2 linked regions of the Diceros bicornis minor genome follow. The protein of the gene in region 1 binds, or shares a complex with, the protein of each later gene. Links are inferred from orthologs where the notes say so. Each region holds a gene or a part of one and is shown in the gene's direction. Other genes may lie near its edges.

The links.
Region 2: the proteins of RAB7A (region 1) and RILP are in contact, whole or in part, in a crystal structure (PDB 1YHN), measured with the Homo sapiens proteins. The link is inferred for Diceros bicornis minor from reciprocal best matches to the Homo sapiens genes RAB7A and RILP. Residues at the interface, in NP_004628.4 of Homo sapiens: Ser3, Lys6, Leu8, Ile41, Gly42, Ala43, Asp44, Phe45, Leu46, Thr47, Thr58, Trp62, Ser72, Leu73, Val75, Leu182, Tyr183, Asn184, Glu185; in NP_113618.2 of Homo sapiens: Phe248, Glu249, Leu252, Gln253, Arg255, Asn256, Lys259, Ala260, Phe263, Leu264, Glu267, Glu268, Tyr271, Arg274, Glu275.

Annotation. Positions count from the first base shown.
Region 1 is NC_080741.1:93,394,018-93,403,748, forward strand, and holds the start of RAB7A (ras-related protein Rab-7a), read left to right. Parts: upstream 1-4,727; 5' UTR 4,728-4,815; intron 4,816-9,731.
Region 2 is NC_080757.1:16,094,456-16,104,664, forward strand, and holds the start of RILP (rab-interacting lysosomal protein), read left to right. Parts: upstream 1-6,086; 5' UTR 6,087-6,252; coding exon 6,253-6,480; intron 6,481-6,551; coding exon 6,552-6,645; intron 6,646-6,734; coding exon 6,735-6,841; intron 6,842-6,930; coding exon 6,931-7,176; intron 7,177-7,465; coding exon 7,466-7,611; intron 7,612-8,004; coding exon 8,005-8,127; intron 8,128-8,255; exon of another isoform or gene 8,256-9,047; intron 9,048-10,209. Other genes in the region: PRPF8 (pre-mRNA-processing-splicing factor 8), read left to right, coding at 1-87, 169-342, 637-830, 1,563-1,802, 1,901-2,042, 4,287-4,427, 4,564-4,703, 4,806-5,008 and 1 more. UniProt on the Homo sapiens protein: Rab effector playing a role in late endocytic transport to degradative compartments. Involved in the regulation of lysosomal morphology and distribution.

The DNA of each region.
Region 1 (9,731 bases):
GTTCTCAACAACAAATTAGCAAACCAAATCCAGCAACATATAGAAAGAATTATACACCATGATCAAGTGGCCTTTTTCCCAAGAATATGAGGTTGGCTTAACATCCAAAAATCAATTAATGTAATACAGTATAATAATAGAATAAAAATGAAAGCGAAATTAAGATTTTCCCATGTAAACAAAAACTGAGAGAATCTGTCACTAGCAGACCTGCACTACAAGAAATGCTAAAGGGAATCTTTCAGGCTAAAATGAAATGATACCAGACAGTAACTCAATTCCAAAGGAAAAAATAAAGAGCGCAAATAAAGGTAACTACATCAGTAAATATAAAAAACAACATAAATATACTTTTTGTTTGTAGCTCTTTTTTTTCTTCTATGTGATTTAAGCCATAATTATATCTATTATGTGGATAAAAGTGCAAAGGCCTGATGTTCCTGTTTATTTTGGTTTGTGCTGTCCAGTATGAATGTCATTGAAGGACAAAGAGGCACCAGCACTTGGGGAAGTTATTTCATTCCTGTGCCCTATTTCCTGACTTGTAGCATCTCTGACTGGCTGGGCCACAGACCCATAGTTGTGTGCAATGGGCCCAGGAGGGCCAGCCACTGGCTGCCGGCTCAATGCTGACCTGAGTGGCATTCCTGCCACAGATCTGCTGTGCACCGTGATGCCATGCATACCTACCCAAGATCTCAAGCATGATGGCTAATCTGTCTTCTTCATGGCTGGTTTCACTTTCTCCAGTGGCTTTTTTTTTCTTTTTTTGCTGAGGAAGATTTGCACTGAGCTAACATCTGTGCCAATCTTCCTTTATTTTGTATGTGGGTTGCTGCCTCAGCATGGCTGATAAGTGGTGTCATGTGCCCAGGATCCAAACCTGTGAACCCAGGCCACCAAAGTGGAGCAGACCAAACTTAACCACTACACCATGGGGCCAGCCCCTCCAGTGGCTATCTTTTGAGAACTACAGAACTTCGGGCACCTAAAAACTCATCCAAACCTCGGCACTAAAAGACAACCAATCTCTAGAATGACTTCTAGCAGCATGAGGCCGTGTCCTTAGGATGACCCCAGCCCCCCATTAAAATGCCTGCCTGAGAAAGCTCAAACACTGCCAGCAGAACTCACTATTCTCACCAACACCTGACTTCCTTTTCTTAGAGCATTTACTAAAAAGGGCTTGTAATTATGACTCTTTACTCTGTCCCTTTGAGATGTATCTACTACAACTCAGGAGTGTCAGGATTATAGGGCCACCGGGCTGGCCCTATAATCACCTTTACAGTGACCTACACTTTGTAATTTTCCACTGGAGCCCCACTCTCTCTCCTTCCCTACCCTCTTCCTTTAAAACTCCCAGTCACCTCAGTGCAAATAGGAACAGAGCTCAGCTCTTCCCTTGCTGTCAGCAGTTACTGAGTAAAATCTGCTTCCACCACTCCAGCTGGTGCTTCAAACCTTGGCATATGCAAATAGTTTTAAAACAAGGTAGATTTGCCTGTGGGAAGGAGAGAGAGAGAGAGGACTGGGAGGAAGCAAGCAGAAGACATCAGGGGGCTAGGAACGTTGTTTTTCCTGATAAGTGGTGGTTACACAGGTGAGTTCACCTTGTGCTAATTCATTAAACTGCTCACTTACGATTTAGGCACTTTTCTCAATGTGCTTTGTTTCAGTATGAAAACAAAGCAAAAGAGTAATACTCAGTAGAGAAGCTGACATAAAACAATACATACTATATTACATATTTATATAAATTCAGACATACCCAGAGAAACTATACTGTATTGTCCATAGGTGTACACTTTAGTGGTGTTATTTTGAAGCAATGCTTCTCAAATTTGAGCACATCAGAATCATCTGGAAAGCTTGTTAAAACCACAGACGGCTGGGCCCCCTTCCAGTTTCCAATTAAGTAGAATTGGGCTGGGGCCTGGGAATTTTCGTTTCTAACAAGTTCCCAGTTAATGCTGGTATGGTTGATCCTGGGACCACACTTTGAGACCCACTGTTACAAAGAATGGCAAGGAAGTATTTACCATAAATGTCAGGATAATGGTTATCTCTGGCGGGTGGAAGGGGCTTGTGAACGGTAAAGGCGCACAAGGGGGAGCTGCTGGGATGCTGGCGACATTCTCTTTCCTCACTTAGGTAGTGATTACATAGATATCCACATCAAAATAATTTATTAAATTGAACATTTGTTTTATGCACTTTTTATATATATTATGATTCACAATAAAAAAAAAAAGGTTAAAGCAATTTTAAAAACAAAAGAAAAAGAGTCTGCATCCCTAATGGCACACTATGCCCCATAGGCCTCCTTGGACTACTTATTCCATGAGATAGATTAATTCTTGTCTGTTTAAGCCACTAGAGAAGGGTATTGTGTTATTTGCAGCCAAACACAATCATAATTATATGTGATAATCTTGGAGCTCATTCCATAATAGCACTGCTTTATTCTTTTTAAGGGCTGTATAGATGTGTCATATTTTTAAAACCAAACCAGTCCCCCATTGATGAACAATTAGGTTGCTTCCAGACTTTTCTATTCAAACAATGCTGGATTGTATTGGTGGGAGAGAGGGAGAATCTCCCTCTGCCCTTTTCCTTAAGGTTCTTATGGCTGGCCAAATAATTAACAAGACAGGTTAGCAGGAGAAAATAATACCAAGTTTAATAACATGTATACATGGGAGAAAGCAGGGACATGGCGTTTCTCAACACAATAACAGAAATTCTCGTCTTAAATACCATGTTCAGCCAATGACAAAGGAGGATGTTGGGGGTGGGAGGAGTCAGTTACAGGAGTTACCACTAAAGCACAGTAAACAAGAGTAAGGTTATTATGCAGATTTAAGGCCTCACCTTCCACATTGATAAGTCTCTAGAAATGAGGCCATCTCCCCTTTTCCCAATACAGAGAGGGCGATACCTTTACAAATGGAGATTTCCCTTATAAATGTAAATGTTTGTCTGGCAACTCCTCGCAGGGCCATCCAGAGAATGTGGCCAGAGAGACATAAGATGGGCTTGTTGGTGCCTTTTCTATTGTAACATCTATTTTACATTATATTACAGCCATCAGATAGAAGGTCTGTTCCAGGAAGGAGTTACTATGTCAAATTCTTTAGACAGGTAGTGGGGGAGGTCAACTGTGCCTCAGAGAAAACAATCAAGGTAAAGAGATATATTTCAGGGTGGCCAAATCTTGATCTCCCACAGTATCTCTTTGTACATATGTCTGAGCACATGGGGGAGCCCACCTGTAAGATAATTTTCTAGGCCTTGAAGTGCTTGATCAAAAGATTTGTACAAGGGATTATTCTAAGTTAACAGACATTATACAAATGTACACTCCCACCAATAGGTATCACAGTGCCTGTTTTCCCCAGCCTTGCCAACACAGTTTCCCATCAAAAGGCACACCAAGTGATGGCGGAGGACACCAGAACTCTCTCTCTTCCTAAAAACCTGGCTAGGGGGCCCTATTACCCTGGTTTTATAGGTAAGTAAACAGATTGCCAAGGATAAGGGACCTACTTTTCTCAACTTCAGCCTCCATTTCTGGATTGGATTAACATCTTCTAAGAATAGATATGGTAACTGCTCCGTGTCATAGCGATTATTATTATTACTATCATTCCCACTTCCCATTCTGCAAGCTAGAAGCCATTTCTTCACTTCTGGTGCAGACAGGACAAAAATTGTGTTCTAGCCTCTCTAATCCATTCCCTCTGGTACTCCCTGAGGCCAGTCCTTCTTCTCTTCCTCCCACCCTCTTCTCTTCCCTCCCCTAATGAGCCTCTCTTCAGAAGCCCCATTGCTCGTCACAACAAGGCTGCAAGAAGTATTGGTTCCTGTTTCTTTACCATCTTATTAGCACATACCCCGACAGGGTCCTGTTCCCAGAGAGAATGTGTAGTGGTTAAGATCAGAGACACCCACCCCAAACTGCCTGGGCATTGCTACTGGCTATCCTGTAACCTTGGACAAATTACTTCTGCTTTCCTCACCGTCCTCATTTGTAAAATGGGAATGCTGATACTCCCTACTTCAGAGTCGTAGGTTGAGTACAGATAATATGTGCCTGGCACGTGGTTGTTGTTGTTATATTACTATTATCAATGGAGAAGAAACTAATACTAAGAACCTGGCACTGTAATCTGAAAAGTCACTTAATCCTCGCAACAGTCCCCCAGAATAGATTGTTATTCCATTTTAGAGCAACGGGCGAGAGAGACCGCTAATCCCATCTCTGCCAGGGTTTAGCAGAGCGACCAAGAGTGCGAGTCTGTTTTCTCCCCTGTAAACAGTAACAATAACGCGTGCCTCGCCCTGTCCTGCGGAGTACTAACAGACCACGCAGAAGCCCTTGAACAAACTTGCTTTCCTTCCCCAGTTTCCCATCCACACGCCCCGCCACACCCCTATCGCTCAAGCGCAAGTTCACATTTCAGTCCAGGCTCCCCCAGTCGTCACAGCCGGGACGCGTGACGTCACGGCCCCGCCCGAGCAGACCCGGAAGCAGAATCCCCTACAGGTCCGAGCTGGCATTACTGCTCGGGCCCGCTGCCAGAGGGCGCGAGAGTCGCCGATGTTGGCTAGCACCTCCCTTGTTTCGTCGCAGGCCGGTCCCGGAAATGGAAGCGTTTGCCGTACAAGATGGCTGCTTCCTTTGTGGTGGTATGGAACGCTGAGAGGCTGTCCTGGTTCTGGGAGGCGCGGTGATCTGAGCGCAGTGATTGCTGCGCAGCCTTCTCGTACAAGTTAGCTGCTGAGGAGTTTCCAGGTGTCTTTCTTGAGGCGGTAGGTGGCCACAGGTACAAGATGGCGGCCCCCACTGCGGGCTCGCGGCGGGCGGGGAATGGGGGCGGCGTGCGCGGTTGCGCAAGCGGGGCGGCCCTCCAGCAGGGTGCGGCTGAGCTCGCGGCCGGCTTTTGTGTGCCGGGAGGGTGACGCCGCCGGGCCGCGCTGTGGAGTGCTGAGACCCGGGTAGGGGATTTTGCTCCCAGCAATTGAGAGAGGTGGGCAGAACCGAGATTCCTGGAAGCCGCAAACTGACTCCTGTAGACAAAGACTCGTTTTTTGCTATTTTAAGCCGTGAAACCAGAGTATAACCAGGTGAAATAAATTGGAGTAGATCCTTTCAGAGAACTAACCTGCCATCGCTAGAAAGAGCAAAGCGGCACTTTATATACTAATATATATTTTTTTTGCTGAGGAAGATCAGCCCTGGGCTAACATCCACACCCATCTTCCTCCACTTTATATGGGACTCCGCCACAGCATGGCCTTACAAGAGGTGCGTGGGTGCCTGCCCGATGCGAACCCGCCAACCCTGGCCCAGCAGCAGAGCGCATGCACTTAACCGTTTGCGCCACCAGGCCGGCCCCACAAAGTTCTTTTATAAAATTATAGTAAAGAGAATAACACGTTTAAAAAAAAGTGAGCTTTTTCAGCTGGAACCATGACATTTAATGAAGATTCTTGAGATTGAATTTGTAAGGATAAAAATTTGAAGGTCGGTACTGTAGTACTTGCTGCAAAGGATACAGATCCATGTGACAACCTGAGCCCTCTTGAAAGCTAGATATAGGTTTGGTTTTGTTTGTTGAGGGGAGGAAGGGAGATGGGGGGTTTGGCTGGCACACAGAATGCGCTCAAGACCTCCCTGTTGAATGAATGCCTAAATGCCTGTCCACTGCCAACACACGTGTTCTCAGCAGCTTAGTCTTGCTGGTATAGCTTCTGATATTTCTAGGGTTAGTATAGTGGAAAACAATAGCAGCATTGAATTAGAGTTTAAACCGAGTGTGTTTTTTGGCCTTAAAATCATCCAGAAATGTGTTTCCAATGCTTAAAAAATAAAGTAGCAGCCGTTTCAGAATTGGCATTGATCTTGGGAATCGCATATTTGAATGTGAAGGAAATGCCAGTCCTCCATGACCGTACTGAGCCTTTGCTAGTGTGCCAGACACTGGACTAGTGGGCACTCTTACATGTACCACTCTGGGTTATTGGGTGTATTAAATATGGTAATATATGGAGCTGGCCTGGTGGCATAGCAGTTAAGTGCACGAGCTCCACTGTGACGGCCAGTGGTTCGCCAGTTTGGATCCTGGGCGCGCACAGACCACCACTCGGCAAGCCATGCTGTGGCAGCGTCCCATATAAAAAAGTGGAGGAAGGTGGGCACAGATGTTAGCCCAGGGCCAGTCTTCCTCAGCAAAAAAGAGGAGGATTGGCAGAGGTTAGCTCAGGGCTGATCTTCCTCACACACACACACACACACACAAAAATGGTAGTATAACTGGAGTTTAGCCAAGTTCCTGACCTGTACTAAATGCTCAATAAATATTAGCAATTACTATTTTGGGGCAACTGTGAGTTTCTCGATTCAGTACATTTTTGCCTCTGAGACCTTATGGAGACTTTAAAAATATGGTAGCTACTGTAGAGAACTTACTGTTTTTTTTTAATCAACTTAGAGGCCACATGGTATAATGGAAAGAATTTAGGTCCTTATTGTGTTTCTTTGAGTAAGTTACTTAACCTTTAGGGACTTTAGTCTCCTCATGTGTAAGCCGAGAATCACAAAACCTCTGTTGGAGGCTCACTGTGAAGATAATGATTAGAAGTAATGTATGTAAAGCACTCAGTAAGTGTTCTCTAATTCTGTAATATTTCAACCTCAGAGTTAAGGAACTAATACTGCACTCAGAGGCAGGAGAACTTCTCTGGTCAGGGGCAGGAGTAGGCGGCCACAGGGTGACAGTTAACACAGGAAGCCTACAAGCAGAAATTGGAGGGATGACAGGTCCACTGGCTTCAGGGCCTTAGGCTTCCTCTCTCCATTGGGAAAATGGTGAGGCCGCCACACCAGGCAGATATGGTCTGCAGGCCCTTTGCAGAGGTGCCCCCTTGCCAACAGCGACCTGCACTGTTTCAGCTCACAGTCGCCTCTTTGGAGCATCTTAACACTGTCTCTCAGAGGCATCAGCCACTGTTTATGAGGCTCATTCCTCATACTTTAGTATTTAATATGAAGTACCTACTGCATATGTTTAAATTTTTTTTAAATTTTAAATTGTGGCAAAATATAAATAACATAAAATTTACCATCTTAATATTTTTTAAGTGTACAGTTCAGTGGCATTAAGTACATTCATATTGTTTTCTCCAGAAGTCTTTTCATCATACAAAAAGATGAAACTCTACCCATTAGCAATAACTGTCTGAAACTCTGTACCCATTAAATAATACCTCTCCATTCTGCCTTCCCAGCAGCCCCTGGGAACCACCATTCTACTTTCTGTCTCTGAATTTGACTACTCTAGGGACCTCATGTAAGTGGAGTCATATAGTATTTGTCTTTTTATGACTGGCTTATTTTACTTAGCATAATGTCAGAATTTCCTTCCTTTTAAAAGCTGAGTAATACTCCATTGTATGCATGTTCATATACCACTTAAGGGGAGCAAAATATGCCACCCCAAAATGTGCCACTTTGGCATGTGGGTTATTTTGAGCTGAAGGCAGTCAAGACCTAGCAGACTCAGGAAAATCTTTTCCCTCTCCCTTAACTGCCTAAAAGAGTTTAAATAGGGGCCTGGCTGAGGAGGAGAGCAATTACCAGAGATTTCTTTTTATCTGTAAGACTTACCTGCGTGGCAGGGCAAACATCTGCTCTTCTTGTCTTCTGGTGCATTGCCTTTCTCCCTTTTGAAGGCTCAGGCCCTTATTCCCTTCCTTAGGTCAGGATAGCATATAAGCCTCAATTGCCTGACAGCTTTTGGGTCTCATGTTTTTATGGGGCTCCCATACATATGAAATTAAATTTGTTTTTCTCCTGTTAATCTGTCTTATATCAATTTAATTATTAGATCAGCCAAAGACCCTAGAAGGGTAGAAGGAATTTTTTCTGCCTCGACACCACATTTTGCTTATCAATTCATCTGTTTGTTTTTTTTTTTTTGTGAGGAGATCAGCACTGTGCTAACATCTGCCAATCTTCCTCTTTTTTTGCTGAGGAAGACTGGCCCTGGGCTAACATCCGTGCCCATCTTCCTCCACTTTATTTATTTATTTTTTCCCCCTAAAGCCCAGTGGATAGTTGTACGTCATGGTTGCACATCCTGCTAGTTGCTGTATGTGGGATGCCGCCTCAGCATGGCTGGAGAAGCGGTGCGTCAGTGCACGTCCGGGATCCGAACCTGGGCCGCCAGCAGCGGAGCGCACGCACTTAACCGCTAAGTCACGGGGCCGGCCCCTTCCTCCACTTCATATGGGACGCCGCCACAGCATGGCTTGCCAAGCAGTGTGTCGGTGTGCGCCCGGGATCCGAACTGGCGAACCCTGGGCCGCTGCTGCAGAGCGCAAGCACTTAACGCTTGCGCCACCGGGTCAGCCCCTCAATTCATCAAGTGTTGATGACACTTGAGTTGCTTCCATCTTGTGACTATTGTGAATAATGCTGCTATGAACATGGGGTGCATACATATTTTAATATGAAGAAATATCCAATAGGATTATAGAGAGTAGAGTATATTTTATATATTTACATTTGATAAAGTAATTCTGAGTCATAAAAAATATGATATTATGAGGGTATTTACCAGGTCATTAGAAGATTTAAAAAATATAATTAGTCATTGTGCATCATGGGCCATGACGTGGCCCAGTAATGGGACACAGGTTTAAAGTTCTCTGATAATCGTGGTCTTCCTTTCTGCTGTGTCAGTGAGTTTGGGAAATTTCCTGGATAATCTTATTTAGAGATGGCATCGAAAACCTAAGGAATAGATGCACGAAAATAGGGATCAAAGACCTTTAACAAAGGATTGTAAGGAGAACTATTGGAAACACCTAAGGCCTAATTTATTCATGTGTGAAATGTGGATAATAGGATTTATCTCAGGAGGTGGTTGTGGGGATAGCAGAAGTCACAGTGAGTAAAGGGCTCACCTAGCCAGCAATGAATGTTGGCCATGATGATAATGATGTCTGTGGACATGGAAAAATGTTCATAATATGCAACTAATTTTAAAAAGGAATGCAGTAAATCTACGTGAAGGGCATATGGGGATTCTTTGTACTGTTCTTGCAACTTTTCTGTAAGTTTAAATTTATATCAAAATAAATAAGTTTGTGGGTTTTTTTTTTTTTTTTTTGCTGAGGAAGATTAGCCCTGAGCTAACAGCTGTTGCCAGTCTTCCTCTTTTTGGTGAGGAAGATTGGCCCTGGGCTAACATCTGTGCCCATCTTCCTCTACTTGATTATATGTAGGACGCCTGCAACAGCATGGCTTGATAAGTGGTGCGCAGGTCCATGCCTGGGATCCGAACCTGCGCACCCTGGGCCAGTGAAGCAGAGCACGTGAACTTAACCACTACGCCACTGGGCTGGCCCCCAAAATAAGTTTTAAAAAAAACATCAGGGCTGGCCCCGTGGCTTAGTGGTTAAGTGCGCACGCTCCGCTACTGGCGGCGGGCTTCGGACCCGGGGCGCGCACTGACGCACCGCTTCTCCAGCCATGTTGAAGCTGCGTCCCACATACAGCAACTAGAAGGATGTGCAACCATGACACACAACTATCTACTGGGGCTTTGGGGAGAAAAAAAAGGAGGATTGGCAATAGATGTTAGCTCAGAGCCAGTCTTCCTCAGCAAAAAAGAGGGATTAGCACTTATGTTAGCTCAGGGCTGATCTTCCTCACACACACA
Region 2 (10,209 bases), on another chromosome or scaffold:
GTTGCTGCCCTGATCCGATCTCTGCCTGTGGAGGAGCAGCCCAAGCAGATCATTGTCACCAGGAAGGGCATGCTGGATCCATTGGAGGTGAGAGGTGGATGAGGTAGAAGGAAGGAGAGCTGAGATCGGCAGGTTCTGTTTCTAATCTTGGACTTGATCTTCTCTCAGGTGCACTTGCTGGACTTCCCCAATATCGTGATCAAAGGATCAGAGCTCCAGCTCCCCTTCCAGGCTTGCCTCAAGGTGGAAAAGTTTGGGGACCTCATTCTTAAAGCCACTGAACCCCAGATGGTTCTCTTTAACCTCTATGATGACTGGCTCAAGACTATCTCATCTTATACGGTATGAAGCCACCTCACGAAGAGGGTCACTCTAAGAGGGGTGGGTTTGGGGGCCACGAGAAGATCACGTGCCTTAGCTTTTCCCACAGGCTCCTTATGGGGCCTTTTCACATCTTCACCCTGTGGATGGGACAGTGACTCTGTGCTCTGCATATCAAGTTGACTTGTGGTGGGGTAGCGGGGTGGTACCTTAGAGTTTGAAATCAATTCCTGGGTTCCCTGAAAGGGTAGGATCAAGGAAAGGGGAAGAACATCAGGGGCTGACCTCCCCCTACATTGCCACATCTTTTCCTAGGCTTTCTCCCGCCTCATCCTGATTCTGCGTGCCCTGCATGTGAACAATGACCGGGCAAAGGTGATCTTGAAGCCAGATAAGACTACTATTACAGAACCACACCACATCTGGCCCACTCTGACTGATGAGGAATGGATCAAGGTGGAGGTGCAGCTCAAGGATCTTATCTTGGCTGACTATGGCAAGAAAAACAAGTGAGCAGTGGTGGTGGGGAGACAGGTGGAAGATCCAGAAAAGGTGAAATCACGGGCTCAGTGTATGGTTTCTGAGTTTTTTGAAACATTTAGGCTCAGAAGTTTCTCAAGAAATTGTCCTGGAGATGCCTATAGAAGAGAGGTGGGCAGTGTCTTCAGACAGTGTAGGAAGTATCTGCGTTTCAGGGCTTCAGTCTGACTCTCGGGCGTTGTTTCTCAGCGAAGGCACTATTGCCATTTTGAGCAGGGCATTTCTTTACTGTCCACACATTACAGGAAGTTTTAACATCCCAGACCCCCAGGTGCCACTGCTAATAGCACACACACAGCTTCTTTCCTTGTCTTTTCCTGTCATTATGGCAACAGTGCCACAAAAATGTCCATAGATTTCCAGATACCCCCTAGGGTGACTGACCGTTACTAACTCTGGTTGAGAACGTGTTCTAGGATTTCCGTTTTTGAGAATTGTCTTGTGCCAGAGAAAGTGCAAGCTATGGATGCTGAGCAGGTTTAAGCATGGCTCAAAGGTGCACAAGCACAGGGACATCCTGGGATGTGCCAGATCTTATCAGTATTAGTACATCTCCACTTCAGACTTCTTTTACAAGTGTCACTTGAGGATTATCTGGGGTAAGAGTGTGGGCTCCCCTGTCCCACCAGGTTACACTCTTGCCATTGAGGCATAAGTGACCAATGGGAAGGGATCCTTTGTGACCCACACTGTCCCCACAGTGTGAATGTGGCATCACTTACACAATCAGAAATTCGAGATATCATCCTGGGTATGGAGATTTCAGCACCATCACAGCAGCGGCAGCAGATAGCTGAGATTGAGAAGCAGACCAAGGAACAGTCGCAGCTGACTGCAACACAGACTCGTACTGTCAACAAGCATGGTGACGAAATCATCACCTCTACCACCAGCAACTATGAGACCCAGACATTCTCATCTAAGACTGAATGGAGGGTCAGGTACTGTAAGGGGCAAGAGGGGTAGGGATGGAAAGGCCTACTGGTGCTACCTAAGGTTCTTGGGTTGAGAAATGCTGGCATTACCTATCTGTTCTTAGGGCCATCTCTGCTGCCAACCTGCACCTAAGGACCAATCACATCTATGTTTCATCTGATGATATCAAGGAGACTGGTTATACCTATATACTTCCCAAGAATGTGCTTAAGAAATTCATCTGCATATCTGATCTTCGGGCCCAGGTGAGTAAGTGTGCTCAACTAGGCCATAGTGTGTGCCCAACATTTTATGTGCCTAAAACTCACCTGAAAGTTCTTGGAACTTGAGGTGCTGGTTTTAAGATGCGTGGACGAGAGGCCGGCCCGGTGGCATAGCGGTTAAGTGCGCGTGCTCTGTGGTGCTGGCACGGGGTTCGGATCCCGGGTACACACCGACGCACTGCTTGTCAACCCATGCTGTGGCGGCGTCCCATATAAAGTGGAGGAAGATGGGCACGGATGTTAGCCCAGGGCCAGTCTTCCTCAGCAAAAAGAGGAGGATTGGCAGATGTTAGCTCACGGCTGATCTTCCTCACCAAAAAAAAAAAAAAAAAAAAGATGTGTGGATGAGTAAATACATAAAGAGAGCCAAAACAACAAGGAGGGTTTTGGCCCCACCAGATAGTAAAACATTACAAAGGTATGGCAATTAAGAGAATGATGTGGGGCCGGCCCAGTGGCATAGCAGTTAAGTTTGTATGTGCCGCTTTGGCCACCTGGAGTTTGCCACTTCGGATCCTGGATGTGGACCTATTCACCGCTCATCAAGCCATGCTGAGGCAGCGTCCCATGTAGAAGAACTAGAAGGACCTACAACTAGGATATAAAACTATGTACTAGGACTTTGCGGGGAGAAAAGAAAAAGAGGAAGATTGGCAACAGATGTTAGCTCAGGGCCAATCTTCCTCAAAAAAAAAAGAATGATGTATTATTGGCCTAGAAATTACTGGAAGAGAATAGCATATAGTCAGAAACAGATTCATGTGTGTATAATAAATGTGATGTATCAAATCTATGGGATTAAGGATGCCTTAGGCTATTGACACAGAAAAAGGAGGCTAGATCCCTGCCTCACACTACTTATAAAAATAGAATCCACGTGGAGTAAAGATCTGAATGTAAAATACTAAACTGTAGACTATTGGAAGAAAATGTATATTACCTTCATGTTGAGATAGCCTTAAATAAGACACAAAACACAAAACCGTAATTAAAATTAATAACTTTTGTGTGACAAAGGGTACCACAACGACAAGCTAGAAACAGGAAGAGTTGCATAACTCTAAGATACAATGCATCACTCTAGAATAGGGAATTCTCAGAAGTTGATTTAAAAAAAAGTTAACTGTAGAAGAACGGGCAAAGAATATGAAGGTATTTCAGAAAAGGAACTACAGATGGCAAATATAATATGAAAAGATGCACAACTTTACTAGTAATCAGGGAAGTTCATAATTTATAAAACACCAATTTGGGGCCTCAGATTGGTGAATTTGAAAAGATTATTAATATCTCATGCGGGAGGGCCAGCCTGGTGGCTTAGCGGTTAAGTGCGCGTGCTCCACTACTGGCGGCCCGGGTTCAGATCCCGGGTGCGCATCGACGCACTGCTTCTCTGGCCATGCTGAGGCCACGTCCCACATACAGCAACTAGAAGGATGTGCAACTATGACATACAACTGTCTACTGGGGCTTTGGGGGGAAAAAAAAAGGAGGAGGATTGGCAATAGAAGTTAGCTCAGAGCCAGTCTTCCTCAGCTAAAAAAACAGAAGATTAGCATGTATGTTAGCTCAGGGCTGATCTTCCTCAAAAAAAAAAAAAAAATATGTGGGCAAGTTTATGGGAACATGAGTCCTCTTACTTTGCTGATGGCAATGTAAAATTTAACATACCACCTAGTGCTGGTTTTAAAGATATGTTCAGGGCCGGCCCCGTGGCTTAGCGGTTAAGTGCGTGCGCTCCGCTGCTGGTGGCCCAGGGTTCGGACCCCAGGGGCGCACTGATGCACCGCTTCTCTGGCCATGCTGAGGCCGCATCCCACATACAGCACCTAGAAGGATGTGCAGCTATGACATACAACTATCTACTGGGGCTTTGGGGGGAAAATAAATAAATAAATAAATAAAATAAATAAAGATATGTTCAGCTTGTGAAAATTCATGAGTTGTGTGCTCATTTGTTTATGGATACTGTACTTAAATAATTTACTGGAGAGAGTGTGAGCAGTACAGATTCCTGGACCCCACTCAAGAGATTCTGATGTAACTCTGTGATGAGGTTCACGTTTAACATTTTGAACAAGCACCCTGGGTGATTCTGCTGCAGATCTGACCACACTTTGAGAAATTGTCCTTGTTCTTGGGGAAGGGAATGAAACACAGGGCTGACAGCCCAGAGTCTGGGCTGGTACTGAGAATTGTTTTGGTTCTTGACCCTCTGTTCTCCAGATTGCAGGATACTTGTATGGGGTGAGCCCACCGGATAACCCCCAGGTGAAGGAGATTCGCTGCATTGTGATGGTACCACAGTGGGGCACTCACCAGACCGTGCACCTGCCAGGCCAGCTGCCCCAACATGAGTACCTCAAGGTCAGTGGGGGTGTGGGAGAATGGGGGCTTTCTGCTGTCAGGGTGGTGGAGGGAAGGCAGGCATGTTACTCTCATTGGTGGGATTCCTCTCTGCAGATGGGGCTTTAAATAGCTGTTCACTGCTCTTTGCCTACAGGAGATGGAACCCTTAGGTTGGATCCACACTCAGCCCAATGAGTCCCCCCAGCTGTCACCCCAGGATGTAACCACCCATGCCAAGATCATGGCTGACAACCCATCTTGGGATGGCGAGAAGACCATTATCATCACCTGCAGGTGGGCTTGGGCCCGCTTGGAGGAAATATGGTGGGCAGGCATTGCAGGCCAGGGCCCAGAGTGGTGGCCTGAGCTCTGACTCTGTCCTCGTCCCTCTTCCAGCTTCACACCAGGCTCCTGCACATTGACAGCCTACAAGCTGACACCCAGTGGCTACGAATGGGGCCGCCAGAACACAGACAAGGGCAACAACCCCAAGGGCTACTTACCCTCACACTATGAGAGGGTCCAGATGCTGTTGTCGGACCGTTTCCTCGGCTTCTTTATGGTCCCTGCCCAGTCCTCATGGAACTACAACTTTATGGGTAGGTAGGGGAGCACAGGAAAGTGGGGATGGGGTTAGGCCATCACCTTTAGCACCTGAGGCCTGGCTCTGGTTTGGAGCTGGCCTAGGGGCCTGGGCTGGGTGAGGCAGGTGGACCTTCTTAATACTGGACATTTCCTTCTACTCCAAGGTGTCCGGCATGATCCCAACATGAAGTATGAGCTACAGCTGGCAAACCCCAAAGAGTTCTACCACGAGGTGCACAGACCCTCCCACTTCCTCAACTTTGCCCTCCTGCAGGAGGGCGAGGTCTACTCTGCTGACCGAGAGGACCTCTATGCCTAGTTGTTTCCTCACCTCCTGCTTCAGACTCCTGAAAGGCTGGAGCCTTTTACCCCCCAGACGAGCTGGTGACATTCAGCAGCTTGGCCCCTTTTTCATCTATTTTGTGCTTGTTGTTGTGTTGTTGACCTCCTGGTGGCTTGTAATCCTGAACAAAGTATAATAATAAATTTTGTACAAATAGGAGTGTTTGAGTTTTTTTTTTTTGCCCCTGAGCTCAAATTCTGGGTGTAGGGATGGCAGGAGGCTGGACTGACTGACAGCAAGGTAGTGGGCTCAGCCTTGGGGGGTGGGGTACAAGGCTTCCCAGGGGCTGAGGCTCAATATCCTCCAGACTCAGGCAACTGAGGGGGGGTTGGGCTTTCACACTCCTGCTTCCTTGACCACATTTGCCATTTTCCCTCCAAAATACTTAGAAACCATCACCACTTTTCAACATCCCTTGGAGCAGTCCTTGCCATTTTCTGTCTCTGGAAGTTCATGGCTTGTTCTCTGCAGGTGTGGTGCGCAGCCAAGCTCCTTAAGCTTTGTGTCACTCCTGGTCAGGGAAACGGGCACATGGTTGGACAGCTGGCTGTCACTGGCCTCAGCCTCTTGTCTGGAGTGCTTGGCAGCCAAGTCAGGCCCCATGACTCCAGGCAGGGGTGGAGCATGGACTGGGCGTTGTGGGGAGGGCTTGACGGAAGTGACCACTTACCCTGAGCCTCAGCTCTTGGCTGCCTGGCTAGGAGTTGGTTGTCCTGCTTCCTGTGACCTTGGGGGCTTGAACAGGGCAGGGTCCAGGATGCCCAGGCCACTGTCTCCTTCCCCTTAATCGCTCCGCCCTGTCGCTTCCACCCCGCCCTGTACTGCTAAGCTGCTTCCTTGGCCGGGACTGTGGCTTTTTCCTGCCCCACTGGGGCTGGGGGCGCGGGGTGTCGCAGCCCTTGACCGTCTGAGAACATGGAGCCCAGGAGGGCGCCGCCTGGGGCGCACGGCTGGGGGCCTCAAGTGGCCGCGGGGTCGGGGACGGCCGCGGAGCTCGTGTACCATCTAGCGGGAGCCCTGGGCACTGAGCTGCAGGATCTGGCGCGCCGCTTCGGGCCGGAGGCGGCGGCCCGGCTCGTGCCGCTCGTGGTGCGGGCGCTGGAGCTCCTGGAAAAGGCTGCCGTGGGGCCCGTCCCGGACTCGGTGAGTCACTGCGCCCTCCCTCGCCAGCGCGGGTCCAGTGGGGCCCAGTCCTGAGAGCCTGGACTCCCCAGCTGCAGGTGTCGGCGCAGCAGGCCGAACTGGAGCTGCGGCGGCTGCGGGAGGAGAACGAGCACCTCCGCAGACAGCTGCGCTCTGGGCCACAGGGTGAGCGCGGGCCCGGCCAGAGGGACGGGGCGGGGGCAGGCCCAGGGCCTCCCTCCCGCGGTCCGCCGCTAAGAACGCCCCTTCCTCAGAGGATCGAGCTCTGCTGCGGCAGCTCAAGGAGGTAACCGACCGACAGCGGGATGAACTCCGGGCGCACAACCGCGACCTGCTACAGCGCAGCCAGGAGACCGAAGCCGTGAGGGCGGGGCGCGGCGACGGGCGCGGGGCGGGGTTCCCTCCGCTCGGCGCCTCGCCCGCCAGCCCCACTCTCTGCCCCGCCCCCAGTTGCAGGAACAGCTGCAGCGCCTCCTGCTGGTGAACGCAGAGTTGCGGCACAAGCTGGCCTTGGTGCAAACCCAGCTGCGCGCAGCGCGGGACCGCGAGAGCCAGCCAGAGCCGCGGAGCGAAGGGGCCGTGCAGCTGGCTCAGGAGCGGGAGCGGGACCAGGCCGGGGGGCCCGGGTGCGAGCAGAGGCAGGAGCCCGAGCCGGCGACTGCCGGCGCAGGAGCCCCGGGGACCCCTGAGGATCCGGCAAGTGCCCGATGATGTCAGTGACCCATTCCAGGACTCACAGCCTGCAGCACTTGGTGGGCACTCGGGAGAGGTTTGCCGTGCAGGCCCACTGGGAAGTTGGAAGGTGGCGCACAGTGTGCGCCCCCAGCCGGCCTCCTCCCCAATAGAGCATTGGTCTGTCATCTATTGTAGCTCTCTTGCCTCCCAAGTCTCCCTGCTAGTCACATCCTCTCGCCTTCCTGTGATGGCCGGGGGGCAGGGGAGGGCACGCTGAGGCTCCCCTCTGACCCAGCCTGTCCTTCCGCAGGCCGATGCCCCGCAGCAGCCGGGGCGCCCCTCCAAGGTAGGGCAGTGCAACTTCAGTCGAGAGGAGCTTGAGCAGATCCTTCAGGAGCGGAATGAGCTCAAAGCCAACGTGTTCCTGCTGAAGGAGGAGTTGGCCTACTTCCAGCGGTGAGGGCGCCAGGCAGGGGCTGGGAAGCTGAGTGGGGCTCCACTCACACCTGCTCCTGGGCCTCAGGTCCCTGGCCTCATTCTTTGGTTCATTGATATATTCACAGTGCCATGTGCCAGACCCTGTGCTGGGCACTGGGAGGACGTGAATCACACAGCCCCTGTCCTCCTGGAACGTCATCCAAATGCAGGAGGGGGCGGTGCAAAGGGTAACAGCTACTGCAGCAGCAGTCAAGGAAGTATTTCTAGGAGGGGTGACACCTAAGCTAAGGTCTGAGGGGTGATAGCAAGGCAGAGTGTTTCAAAAGGGGGGAACAACATGCACAGGTGCTTGGGTGAGACCTGCTGTTGGCATCCCCACTGCTTTTCCCTGCCCCTCCTGCTCCTCTGTAGGGAGCTGCTCTCAGACCACCGGGTACCCGGGCTTCTCCTAGAAGCCATGAAGGTGGCTGTCAGGAAGCAGCGGAAGAAGATCAAGGCCAAGATGTTAGGGACCCCAGAGGAAGCAGAGAGCAGGTAAGTCCCTGCCTCCATTCCCTCTAAGCCAGCCTCCCTCTCTTGTTCTGCTGAGCCTGATGACACGACATGGTTATGCTCTGCCCAACCTAGCAACCTCATGAGCCTGCTGACCCAGCCTCATCATCTTCTCAGTCTGTTGTCTCAGACTGATGCTGTCTCCCCCGTCTAGTGACCCCTTGAACCTGTCACCTAGCCTAGTCACTCTTGAACCTGCTAACCTGGCCTGGTCACCCCCTGAGCCTGCTGTCCAGCCTGCCCTGCTGAGCCTACCATTCTGGCTTGGTCACCCCTTGGGCCTGATTATCTAGTCTGGTCACCCCCTGAGCCTACCATCCAGTCTGCCCTTCTGAGCCTGCCGCCCTCCTCTCTGGACCGCACTGCTCCCACTTGCCACGCTCGCTGTGCATACTCCTGAAGAAACCTGCTAACATTGCTCCTCCACATTTATTTTTCGGTTCCCTGTCTTGGCTAGATCTGTTTGTTCTCAGAGAGGTAAGACTGTACGGTAGTCCCCCCTCATCCGCAGTTTCGCTTTCTGAGCGAAGTCAACCATAGTCAACCACAGTCCAAAAATATTAAATAGAAAATTCCACAAATAAACAATTCATAAGTTTTAAATTGCGGTCCATTGTGAGTAGCATGATGAAATCTTGCGCTGTCCTTCTCCTCCTCCCCCAGGATGTGAATCATCCCTTTGTCCAGCATATCCACGCTGTATACTCTACCTGCCCATTAGTCATTTAGCAGCCCTCTCAGTTATCAGATCAACTTCACGGTATCACAGTACGTGTGTTCAAGTAATCCTTATTTTACTTAATAATGGCCCCAAAGCACGGGAGTAGTGATGCTGGCAATTTGGTTATGCCAAAGAGAAGACGTCAAGTGCTTCCTTTAAGTAAAAAAGTGAAAGTTCTCAACTGAAAAAGGAAAGAAAAAAATCATGCTCAGGTTGCTAACATCTACAATAACTTGTATTACAGTATATTGCTATACAGTCATGTGTCACTTAACAATGGGAATATGTTCTGAGAAATGCCTTGTTAGGCGATTTTGTTGTGCAAACATCACAGAGTGTACTGAAAGGGAACAAAACTTCCCACCCCAGGGGCCGGCCCCATGGTGCAGTGATTAAGTGCGTGCGCTCCGCTGCTGGTGGCCTGGGTTCGGATCCCAGACGCGCACCCACGCACTGCTTGTCAGGCCATGCTGTGGCGGTGTCCCATATAAAGTAAAGGAAGATGGGCACAGATGTTAGCCCAGGGCCAGTCTTCCTCAGCAAAAAGAGGAGGATTGGCATGGATGTTAGCTCAGAGCTGATCTTCCTCACAAAAAAAACAAAAAAAAAACTTGTCACCACAAAATATATCTCTTTAACATGAGAATTATTTTTAAGAAACAAAAGATTCAGAGCCTGCCCTAATGGTCTAGTGGTTAAAGTTCGGCATGCTCCACTTCAGTGGCCCCGGTTCAGTTCCCCGGGACAAAACCACACCACTCGTCTGACAGTAGTTATGCTGTAGTGGCAGATTACACAGAAGAACTAGAAGGACCTACAACTAGAATATACAACTATGTACTGGGGCTTTGGGGAGGGGAAAAAATATGTATATATCCTGTAAAAGATTCAGAAAGTTTTTCTTGTTACTTCCCTCTTACCTGCCTAAAAGAATTCAGATTAAAAAACCTGTCTCAGGGGGCCATCCAGTGGTGTAGTGGTTAAGTCTGTGGGCTCCACTTCGGTGGCCCAGGGTTCACAGGTTCAGATTCCAGGCACAGACCTACACACTGCTCATCAAGCCATGCTGTGGCGGCGTCCCACATACAAAATAGAGGAAGACTGGCACAGATGTTAGCTCAGGGACAATCTTCCTCACCAAAAAAAAAAAACAAACAAAAACAAACAAACCACCTGTCTCAGGAAGCAGCTATCACCTTAGCATAATGAACTATGTGATAGACAGGGAGGAACCTAGAAAAGCCTGTTTGTTGCGTTCCCCTCTGTGTTCTTCTGTTTCTGTGTGGCCAGACACTTGTTTTCCAAACGTTTGTTGCTTTTCACCTACCTGTGAATTACCTTTC